3 linked regions of the Canis lupus familiaris genome follow. The protein of the gene in region 1 binds, or shares a complex with, the protein of each later gene. Links are inferred from orthologs where the notes say so. Each region holds a gene or a part of one and is shown in the gene's direction. Other genes may lie near its edges. The genes, in order: NCKAP1, WASF2 and CYFIP2.

Region 1 (3,649 bases):
TTAATGTTTTTTCAAAATAATTGGTGTAATATAAGATTTAATTTCTTTTTAAATTTAGTTGTTGCCCAAGCATTGTGCCAAAACCATTAGTCAAGCAGTGAATAAGAAGTCAAAAAAACAGACTGGTAAGAAAGGGGAACCTGAAAGGGAAAAGCCAGGAGTTGAGAGTATGAGGAAAAACAGGCTGGTAGTGACCAAGTAAGCCATCCAATTTTATTGTATCTTTTTGTTACAAGTAGAAGTTTTTCACTTTTTGTATGGCATTAGTACTGAGGGAATGCTCATAGTTGTAAATTCTTCATTTCTTGTCATTAAGTATCATCATTATTATTACTATTATTTTACCTTTGTGTATTTGAATAATTAGTGCTTATTTCCAAAATACAGATTTTGGATTTTTGAAAATTTTGGATTTAAAGAAAATTCATTTAATAGGTAATATTTGTCTATATATAATGAATGCAAAAGGCCAAAAATCTGTCTAAAAATTGGGAGGATACACTATAAGTAATCCATAATTTTCCATTTATTAAAAAGCAGGTAATCTGAGACTTTATTTTGGCATATTGTTGTATTAGAACATAAATCATTTTTATAGTACGTATATCAGACTAGATATTAAGGATTGTGTTTTTGGAGGGTAGGCATTGGTGGACAATAATGGATGAACATTTGTTTTGTTTAAAGTAAATTTCTTACTTCTTGGCTTTTTTTATGTTGAGCAAGCTGTTTGCCATTTTGTAGACAACTTTCGTCCTCCAATACAGAAAGTACAGCAAGATTGTCTATGAGCATGTAATAAACTTTCTTGTATATTAAATCAATGTAATTGTCATCTGAATGGAGAAACAAATGAGTGATACTGTCTTTAGAAAACTGCTCTCATGTTAGTGATATCCTTAAAGATTTTGAACTTGTCAATTTAGGAAGAAAAATACTGAATTCTGGAATTATTATCCCCAAATGAGATCTGATACATTTATAAAAGTAATTTTGTATTTTTATGATGAAACATTGAACATTTCATTTACTGTTCATTAATATTTTTTCAGCCTTGATAAATTGCACACTGCACTTTCTGAGTTGTGTTTCTCTATAAATTATGTACCAAACATGGTGGTTTGGGAACATACTTTTACCCCACGAGAATATTTGACTTCTCATCTGGAAATCCGCTTTACAAAGTAAGAAAGAATAACAAACTTTTTTGTTGGTTCAGTTAATGAATTTGTTATGTACTTCATATCCTTGTTACGAGGAAAAGTAGTAGTAGAACTGATATAGTATCAAGAATAATGAATGGGGAAGTATAGAGAGTGGTGAACTAGGAATCACTTAAGTTACCCAGATTCTTGTCCCATACTTGTTATTAACCAGTTTTAACACCGGACAAGCCAGTTAATTCTGTGAGCCTTAGATTCCCTATAAGTAAAATGAGAAGATTGAAGCGAATCAGTATATTTCAGCTGGTAGGTAGCAACCAAGTCGGGTCATGAAATCAATGTAGAAGGTTGTAGTAAACATTTAAAAAAAGAAAGAAGAGGCAGGGAAGGAAAAGAAACAAGAATAGAAAAAATCATCCACTGCATGTAGTAAGTATAAATACTGCTTCATGAAATTTTTCACTTATATGTATATATGTACCCAGTCATGATGCCACATACATATCTTATAAGTCGGTCACAGTCAAATGTTTGAAACCATCAGGACTAGATGATATCTTGTTTTTTTCTGAGTTCACATGTATGCTCTTAGGTCAGTAGAATTCTAGACTCTTGAGGCACCCCTAATTAGAGTTCTATAAGTCTTATATATGTTTCTTGAAGTCATATTGCATGTGATATCAGAAACCTTTCAGTTTTATAAATGTTGCTTCAGCTTTTTTCTAAAGTTACACATGTATTTATTCAAGAAAATATTGATTGATTTGAGAAGTTTTTCTTTGAACATCAATTTATAAAACAAAATTTAGCTGAAGATTTTTCAGTTTTGTGGTCGTTAACAAGTAGTATTTATACCATGTGCTTGACATTGTGTTAGGTCCTGTAAGTAGTAATGAAATAGTATAAAGCTTAGAGCTATAGTTTGTGAGAAGGCTACAACAATTAGAGAACAAAATAGGAGAATATGTAAGTGGGTACTAAATTGTGTGTTAAGTCATCAGTTGCCTAGTGAGATGTTAAACAAAGACTGTCTTTTGCTATCCTTTAGTAAGGCAGGCATTCTGACAGTGAAACCTAGAATAGTTTTTAAACCAAAGGGACATTATGCACTCTGGTATTTATTATTCTCAACTCGGTGGGAATGAGAGGATGGTGGGTGGAAGATAGGGTTGACTTTACACCCCCCTTGTTTTCCTTCTGTAAGTAGTCTGGTCTGTTAATCCATAGAGAAACAGATGTTCTTTTGACAAAACATCTACTTAGTTATCAGAATCAAAGCAAGGCTGTAAACTTGTTTACCTGGGAAAGATTTTCATGCCAAAACAATAGGTTGCATTAGTTTGTTGATTTTTGCTGATCACTTGAGTACAGTCTTGGAACTTGAGGGGTTATATGCAAGGATAGCAGTTATTGCCTTGAGTTGATCTTCTGGGGTTTGTTTCTATTGATGGAATTTGATGTTGTCTTTAAGGATTTATCCTTACAAACACAAGTTTAAGATCTTTACAGATCCAAAGCTCAGAGTTTTAAAGATGGTAAGATGGGGTGGCCAACATAGGAAAAGAACAGGTAGGAAAGTATTTTCAAAATTTGTGTTTCCTTTCAGGCTTATAGTTCATTGGGGTATAAATATAACAGAACTGTGTTTTGTGTGCTGCAAATGATTAAAAAACAACATGGGAGGTTTTTTGTTGCCTTGTTTGACTGTTGTGCATTTTGTTGAGTGGCAGCACTGTCAGGCAGATGTGGACTCAAACCCTAGACCCCCTACTTCCAAACAAAGTGACCTTATTCAGTTTACTTGAGTTCTGAGCCTTAGGTAGTGGTGGTGGTGGTGTTTAAATCTGTGAAATGGTGGTGATAATAACTACATAGTAGAGTTATTAAATATGAGAATGATCGGTATAAAGCTTACTGGTGTGTTAGAGTGCCAGATAAATTTGAGCTGTGGATTAAATAATCCATTGTACTTGCTATAGACAGTGTATCTTGTTAAGGAATTTTTTTAAGCCCTCTTTATCCTTAAATCATTTTTAATATTGATGTCCTTAGAATTTTTAAAATCATATTTCTACTTTATTGTAGCTTTTAGGTGTTCATTTTTTTTGGAGATAATGATAGTAATTTCATGGCTTTGTAACAAATTGTCTTTAAAATTAATGTTCTTGCTACCAGTAGGTTAAATGGCCTGCTTAATAAATGGAAAAGTCAGTTCTTTTATTCACCCCCAACAGGTCAATTGTTGGAATGACTATGTATAATCAAGCCACACAGGAAATTGCAAAACCATCAGAGCTTCTAACAAGTGTAAGAGCATATATGACTGTACTACAGTCCATAGAAAACTATGTGCAAATTGACATTACAAGAGTGTTTAACAACGTTCTTCTTCAACAAACACAACATTTAGACAGTCATGGAGAACCAACCATCACAAGTCTATACACAAATTGGTAAGCACATTTAGAAATTTGGAGTGATACAAA
Region 2 (4,332 bases), on another chromosome or scaffold:
ACTGACTTCTGCACAGCACCTGCTGCCTCTCAGCACTCAATGGCCACAGTCACGATTTAAATAGTCATTGGTTGTCAGACCACATGTCCCAATTTGAGCCTGGAGGTCACTGACTCAGCCAGCACTGAGGCTCTTTCAGCACCACACACTTGGTGGTCTCTGCCCTTCTAAAGTCTTAGGCTGCTCCCCTCCCACTCCCATCTTGGCTTCCTTCCTTTCCAGAGAGGGAAAAGGAATAGGAATTACAGCCAAGGCAGCCCTTCTGGGAAAAACAATCCTGCAATGAAAAGAGCCCTGTTCTGAGAGCAGAGAGACCTGGATTTAAGTCTTGGCATGGAGGCTGCCCTGCTGAGGGCCCTCAATGTGTCACTGCCTCTCTGTGTCCTTGTTTGGGATTCTGTCTGGGTTGCTGACCCACCTGTCATCCCCTACTCACGTCCTGATTCTTAGGACCCTGGAAACAGCTGCGGCCTATGGTGACCAAAGAAATGGGGACTGGCCTGGCCCCTGAAATGCTAAAGGGTTGGTGTTGGAAAGTCTTTCTCAGGGGACACCAAGCCTGGGGGGTGGGGAGTGGGGAGAAATACAGAAATGGAAGACAAAAGATACAGGCTTGACTCCTAGGGTTGTTTCAAATTCCCTGGGTGACTTAGGTTAAGTCGTGGAGTTTTCAATTTTCTCTCCTGCAAAAGGAGGGAAGTCTCCGCCTTACAAAGTAGCTGTAGAGAACTAAATGAGAGATTATCGCTAACTTGTGAGTTTGTCACATTGATATCCAGCCGCAGCCTTTTAGAATTAAAAAAAAAAAAAACAACAACAAAAAAACCCCAAAAACCGAACATGCACCCAACTCAGGCACGTGGCCTCAACAAATATGCCAGGACAGGAGGCAGACATGACTGCTCCTATTTTGCGGAAGGACAAACTGAGACCCAGGTAAGTCCAGGAAGTTGTTTGAGGTCGCAGAATGAGGTGGCGCCCGAACCAGGGTCCTGCTCACCTCACGCTGGCCTCTCAGAACCAGCTCCCGGTCCCAAACCCCAGACCTCGCCCCGGAAGAACCGTTTAGCGGCGGGCAGGAGCCTCTGACTCACGCTCCCCACCCTCCTTTCAGTCGGACCTGAGACCGGGGGAGAAGGGACAAAACTACCTGCAACTTGAGGGGTGTCCACAGAAAGTTCAGAGGTTTAGCCCTCTTTTTTACACCAAAAATCCTGGTTCTTTGAACTCTTCCGAGAAGAACCCATCTTTCAATACACTTTGTACGAGTTTTCCCACTTTCTTCGGTGGGATTTTCCTATCCTGAATTTAGGAGTTGATCCCGCTTCATCTCCACCCCCACTTCACTTGGTTTGCCCCCCCGCTGTTTACTCCGATTGCGGAAGTAGCTCGGGTGGAGCTCCCCAGGCGCTGCCCGGGAGTACGTCTTTTGCGTAGCTATTTAACTGGCACTCGACTCAGGCCAATGGAATGCCCGAAAGCCCCAGGAGGGTGGGGCAGGGAGCCAATCAGGGCCTTTGGCGGGGTGTGGCTGCGTCCCAGGGCGGGGAATCGCGTAATGGCGGACGCGGGCCGGGTGAGCGCGGCTGGGGGCGTAGCGCGCTGAGGGGGGTCTGGCTGTGCGGCGTCCCGGGAGGCGGCCCGCGGGAACAGACCCCGTGCGGAGAAGGGCGGCTGGTCGGCCCCTCTATCTCTGAGGGCGGCCGCGCGCGACCAGGTGAGCAACAAGTCCCCGCGGGCGGGCCCCGCCGTGAGGCGCCGGGCCCGGCCGCGCCGCCACCGCCTACCCCCTGCCCGGAGCCTCGCGGGGTCCCCGGGGAGTCGGTGGCGCGCCTCCCGCCGCTGACGGGCAGTGGCCGGGCGAGCGGTCAGCGCGGGGTGGCCTCTTACTGTACACTCCCCTCCGCAGGGGTGAGGTGTCCTGGAGATCCCCTCGGAGACTTGGAGGGGGCCCGCAAATCTGCTAGGCTTGGAAAGTGCCCTCAACCTGACCTGGCGTTGCCACTAACTCGCTGTGTGACCTTGGGCAAGTCACTTCCCTCTCTGGGCCTCAGTTTCCCTATTTGTAGAACGAAGGCTTTGCAGGCAGTTGTACATGAGTTGGATCTCTGATGTTCTCCGAGATCTCGGGCAAGTTCTTCCCCAGTTTCCATCTCTGGGCCGTGAAGGAATTGAAGTGCTCTTTGAGACCTCTGGCCTGCTAGGTCAGGAGGAGTGGTGGAGAGGACTGTGTGTACGTGTGTGCGCGTATATATGTGTACTGGATGGTTCTGCAGGGTCAGGAGGAGAGTTGGCCAGAGGGGCTCTTCCGTGAAAGCTCTGGATGGACCCCAGACTGTGATGAGGTGGACTCCCGATTGTCTTGATCCTCTAGGATCCTAGACCCTCTGAGATGGCAAAGTTTTATACACTAGTGCATCAGAAGAGAGGATAGCATCCTTGGGGCTTCTTGGGACAATGATTGAAATTTAGGCCCAAAAGAATTCTTGGTGGGTTAGGAATAGGAGGGGGAGCGTTTATGCTGCTCCTACTATGTGCCAGTGCTTATTTGGGCTTATGTTCTTACTGAATTTTTACAGCGGCTGTTGAGAACTTACACATAAGGAAACTGAGTTTCAGGGGAGTTAAGTAACTTGTCCAGGGTCACATGGTGAGGTACAGAGCTTACCAACCATAAGGTGATTTCCTTTGAGAATCACCAGACAAGGGGGAAGTCATTGTCCACTTAAAAGAAGTTTGCTTTGTCACAACTGGGGGGAGGGGTCTGGTCCCAGACACTTGAGTTGACTTATGGCATGGAGACAGGCTGGACCTTGATCTCCGGATTGCTAATTATAAGTGCATTCCTTTTCTTCGGTTTGTAAGTTAGAAAGGACCATTTCTAAATTGTAGAAGTTACTGTGAAGTGTAAAAGGTCAAAACCTCAAAGAACTCATTTTGGATGCTGACCCAAGTGACCTGTAGAAGTTCACCAACTGTTGGTGTTTAGACTTGACTCTTGGTTCAGAGTGGTGCCAGCCCAGTCAGTAGCTTTTCCTCCTCCCTAAGAAAGCTAAATTTTCTTGTGATGAGAGAAATTTTCCATTTGTTCAAATTTCTTCCGATTCTTGGAACGAAAGTTTCAGTACCCTGCCTCTGATGAAGAATAATATTCCTTCCTTTCTTTGTGTTCCTTGTTATCTGACTTCTAGATGAGTGAAGATTTTGGACCTGGAGTCAAAGACTAGTAGCTGGATACTATAAATTGTAGCCCTTAATTTTTTCAAGCCTCAGCTTTTGGTTAATCAAAATGGTAGGACGGGCAGAGTGTATTGTTCTCATGTGTCAATGATAGGGGAAGAAAATTGGAAGAGGAAGTTGCTGAGAAAGAGGGCGTTTCTTAGCAGTGGAGCCAATATGTATTTCTTTGTTTGAAATTCTAAAACCAGAAAAGCAGCAACTGAAGGAGGAAGGAAGGAAAGAACTTTGAAACTCTTCTTGCAGTTCAAATATCTTAGGAGCAATCCCTGTTGCTGTCCGTGTCTGAGGCCCCGCTTTCACAGGAAAAGTCCATTGTAATTTGTTCAAAGTTGAGGAATTGTATTCTAGAATGCAAAAATTTTAGGTATGAAACCTGAGATAAATTTCTTAAAATCAGAACATTTTACTGAGTTTGTTGTTCACCAGTGGATGATTCTTCTTTTTTTTTTAAGATTATTTATTTATTCATGAGAGACACAGAGAAAGAGAGAGAGAGACTTAGAGACACAGGCAGAGAGAGAAGCAGGCTCCATGCAGGAAGCCCGAAGTGGGACTCGATCCCGCGACTCTGGGATCACGCCCTGAGCCAAAGGCCGACGCTCAGCCTCTGAGCTACCCAGGCGTCCCTTGATTCTTTTCCTCAGTAACCAATTGCAGTCTTTTGGTCTGTCTTAACTATGATTTAAATTAGTGAATTTCAACCTAAGAAGAATTGATTTAGATACTGGGTGATGTATATCACCGTCACTTGAAAAAACGTAATGGTGCTTGAGTTTTGACATTTGTTAAAAATCTTTTTGATGCTTCATTTTACAGGATTGTGTATGTGAATAGTTGTTAAGGCATTGAATTTATTGTATGTGAAGATCTATTTTCATTTGCTTTATTAGTTATAAGACTAGTAAGACTTAGTATAAGCCTGTTTAAGACTTAATCTTAGCATACCATATCAAAATACCTTGGGGCCAAAAAAAACCCCAAAAAACGAAACAGTTCTTGGGACTAGATATTTTTTGCATATAGAATTTTTGGGATTTTATTTTTTTTAATTTTTAAAAAAATTTTTGGGATTTTAGAAAAGGGATATAGTAC
Region 3 (3,649 bases), on another chromosome or scaffold:
GCAGACATCTGCAGAAAAAAAGAAAAATATAAACACAGCACAAAGAAACCTTTACCCCAGGATAGAGGGCCAGCCCCTGACCTTCTCCTCCTACTTTCTCTTTCAAGCTGTACATGGTGCGGACCATGCTTGAATCGCTCATCGCAGACAAGAGTGGCTCCAAGAAGACATTGAGGAGCAGCCTTGATGGACCCATTGTCCTCGCCATAGAGGACTTCCACAAACAGTCCTTCTTCTTCACACACCTGCTCAATATCAGTGGTGAGTGACGCTATCCAGGCAGTGGGGAGAGGACGGTTGGGTGGGGGCAGGTCCCAGACCCACTAAGGCTGTTGGACCAAAAGTTGCAAAGAAATGTGGTCATCGGCCAGAAGGGCACGTTTCGCCACCGAGGTAAAAAATGCACACTTTCTGGTGGACTTGGAAAGGCCAGGCTCAGTTCAGCTATTCTGACTCAGCTAAATTTGTCTGGTAGACATTTGTGGTTTATTTGTCATGAAGTCCTTAGTAAAGGGGATTAAATCCAGCAACATACCCACAGATGCAACCAGGCATCTTAAGCCTTAGCTTTTAAGCAGCAGCTCTGTGCTGATTAGTCTTGTTGCTCATTGCAAAGGAGGCTTCCAAGCTGGACCCCAAGCCGTGTCCCCCAGTCCTGTTCTCCCATTAGCAGGACACCTCTGCAGGTGGGACAGGGCAGGGGGAAGGACAGCAGCCTCCAGAGACCCAGGAGTGGTAATGCATTTGTTGGTACTAGAACAGTAACCTTAACGAATCCAGACATCTCCATTAGAGCACAGACCAGGGCCCCTCAAGGCTTCTAAGTGGATAAAAACCAGAATTACTATGTACAAGGGGACGAGGAGCAGTGAAAAGCGGGCACTTGGGGAGCTGGCTTGACACTATGTTTGGATAGCAAGCACACTTTTTCCACTAAGATTGTGGGTCTTCAGGTTGGCCTTGTAGGAGGACGATGGAGATTATGGGGGCATCGAAAGCTTTAAAATGTCACTGCTCTCCTCCACCATGGGGCTGCTACTGTGAGTCTAACAGATACTGTTTTCTAAGTAGATATTAGACTGACCTTCAGGTAAAAGAGCAGGATCTACTGATTAGGTCATATTTATGAGTACCTGCTGTACTCCAGTATAGTGGTAGAAATAGCAAAAGCAATAAGAACCAAGTTAATAGGAACAAAGATCTTTTGGTGCTTCTTCTGTATAACCCACTGCTCTTTCCTTAATGCTTTCAGAAGCCCTGCAGCAATGTTGTGACCTCTCTCAGCTCTGGTTCCGAGAATTCTTCCTGGAGTTAACCATGGGCCGGCGAATCCAGTTCCCAATTGAGATGTCCATGCCCTGGATTCTAACAGACCATATCCTGGAAACCAAAGAACCTTCCATGATGGAGTAAGAGGCAGGATTGGGTCAGCAAGGAGGTTCCCAGGGTGCAGAGGGAGGGCAGTTTGCTAGGGAGCTCTGTTCTTTCCAGAACTTTCGAGATGAGACAGTGTGGCCCCACTAGGAAAAGCGCTCATGCCAAGGATCAGGTCATACCAGATTTGACTCAGCCTTGCAGATAGGCTCAGGATTATACCAGCCCAACTGCCCTTCCTGTGCTCTGTCAGTGTCAGGCAGCTATGCTTGGAAGATAGTCATCTCTGGGGACCAGGAAGCTAATATCCTTAACTGCCACCTGATTTCTTTTGGTCCCAGACTAATTGTTTCAGGCCTTGGATTTATTAACATCATGGACTTCTGATTTCTATAGGCAGACTGTAAAGTAAGGCATTCCGAAGGCAATTTGGAAACCTCAGAATGCTGGAAGGCTCCCTCATATTAACCCCAAGCTTATTCATGTTTTCACCCAAACCTTCATATTTCCCAATCCACTTGCTTTCAGATTGATTAGTAAGCTGCTGGTCTCTGCTTTTCTCTCTTCAGGTACGTCCTCTACCCTTTGGACCTGTACAATGACAGCGCCTACTATGCTCTGACCAAGTTTAAAAAGCAGTTCCTGTATGATGAGATTGAAGCTGAGGCAAGTGACCCGCATCTCCTTTTGTTCCTATAATCTTATTCCAACAATGTGGACTTTTTAAATCTGTAGCTCTTGGCACAAAGTGGGCTGTCTTAGTCCATTCAGGCTGCTATACCAAAAATCCACAGACTGGCTTATAAAAAATACTGTTGTAGAGGCTAGATGTCTAGATCAGGGCATCCTTCTGGGTCACAGACTTTTCATTGTATGCATAGTGGAAGGGGTGAGGGAGCTCTCTGTGGTCTTTTTAGAATTTTTTTTTTTAAGATTTTATTTGAGAGAGAGAGAAAAAAAAAAAAAAAAAAAAAAAAGCCAGACTCGGGGGCTTGATCCCACGACCCTGAGATCATGACCTGAGCCAAAATCAAAAAGTTTAACTGACTGAGCCCCTAGTTTCTCTCTTACAAGAGCCCTAATCGCATTCATGAAGAGTCTACTTTCATGACCTAATCACTTCCCAAAGGCCCCACAGCCTAATATTTTTGGGGGTTAGGATCTCAACATATGAATTTTGGGGGACACACATATTCAGACCATAGCAATGTGGGATCAGTGACTTGTTCTGGAGAATGATCTCTTTTTATGACTTTAAAAAAAAAATTGCAGTATAGTTGATGCCCAATGTTATATTAGTTTCAGGTGTACAACACAGTGATTCTACAATTCTGTACGTCATAACTGTGCTCACCAGAGGTGTAGCTACCATCTGTCCCCGTACAATGCTATTATAATAGCATTCACTATATGGAGAGTGATCTTAACAAATCATGATCATCAAAAAGGACCCAGACCAAGATGATGGTCTTTCTTTTTCAGATATATTAAGGGATAACAAATGGTAAAACTGCATGGGTAATATTAATATTCTAATGAATCTTTTATGGTTGGAACATTTTGTTAATAATAATAACAGCAATATCACCTATCAGTTATTATATATTCACCATTTGCTTTTAAAACAACTTTTTAAATAACCTTTACAGCAATTTAAGGAGGTATATACTATTAATCTGTTTTACAGATTAGTCTTAGACTTAAAGTGGTCAGTTATCATAATGCCAAGGTCACTCAGTGTAAAGTGTCACTTGGTAGAGTGGTAGGATTGAAGTAACCTTTATCTCAACTATTAAGCTGTTTATTATTAGTCACTCAATGGCTTTATTTCTGTAATGGTCAGGATAAGCTAGGTTATGCTGCAGTAACAAATAATTACAAATTCTTAGTACCTTGAAATCAAAGGTTTATTTCTCTTTTATGGGTTGGTTGTGGGCTCTGGTCCATGTAGTCTGCGAGTCAGGACCCACATGGAACATTCACTAATTGCCATGGCAGGAGGAAGTGTTACTGCTACTTCAAAACTTCCACCTGGAAATGACACATGTCATTGGTCAAAGCAAGTCACATGACTGCATCACCTTCACGGAGAGGCGCAAGGAAGTACAATCCTGCCACATGGAAGGACGAGGCCAATAGTAGTGATGGCTACTGAAATTTCTAAGTTTTGCCTCCTGGGAAATGGAATGATAGTCTGGGTTCTTCCTTAACTGCATGGGGCTATATAAACACAGAATGAGGCCAATTAGGTAAAAATATCATAGAAATATAAAAC

The links.
Region 2: NCKAP1 (region 1) and WASF2 share a complex: the UniProt entries of both Homo sapiens proteins name them as parts of the WAVE2 complex. The link is inferred for Canis lupus familiaris from reciprocal best matches to the Homo sapiens genes NCKAP1 and WASF2.
Region 3: NCKAP1 (region 1) and CYFIP2 share a complex: the UniProt entries of both Homo sapiens proteins name them as parts of the WAVE1 complex. The link is inferred for Canis lupus familiaris from reciprocal best matches to the Homo sapiens genes NCKAP1 and CYFIP2.

The regions. Positions count from the first base shown.
Region 1 is NC_049257.1:26,348,500-26,352,148, reverse strand, and holds part of NCKAP1 (nck-associated protein 1), read left to right. Parts: intron 1-58; coding exon 59-198; intron 199-1,052; coding exon 1,053-1,184; intron 1,185-3,397; coding exon 3,398-3,616; intron 3,617-3,649. UniProt on the Homo sapiens protein: Part of the WAVE complex that regulates lamellipodia formation. The WAVE complex regulates actin filament reorganization via its interaction with the Arp2/3 complex. Actin remodeling activity is regulated by RAC1.
Region 2 is NC_049223.1:72,194,534-72,198,865, forward strand, and holds the start of WASF2 (wiskott-Aldrich syndrome protein family member 2), read left to right. Parts: upstream 1-1,491; 5' UTR 1,492-1,576; exon of another isoform or gene 1,577-1,717; intron 1,718-4,332. UniProt on the Homo sapiens protein: Downstream effector molecule involved in the transmission of signals from tyrosine kinase receptors and small GTPases to the actin cytoskeleton. Promotes formation of actin filaments. Part of the WAVE complex that regulates lamellipodia formation.
Region 3 is NC_049225.1:53,724,704-53,728,352, reverse strand, and holds part of CYFIP2 (cytoplasmic FMR1-interacting protein 2), read left to right. Parts: intron 1-107; coding exon 108-261; intron 262-1,252; coding exon 1,253-1,409; intron 1,410-1,943; coding exon 1,944-2,040; intron 2,041-3,649. UniProt on the Homo sapiens protein: Involved in T-cell adhesion and p53/TP53-dependent induction of apoptosis. Does not bind RNA. As component of the WAVE1 complex, required for BDNF-NTRK2 endocytic trafficking and signaling from early endosomes.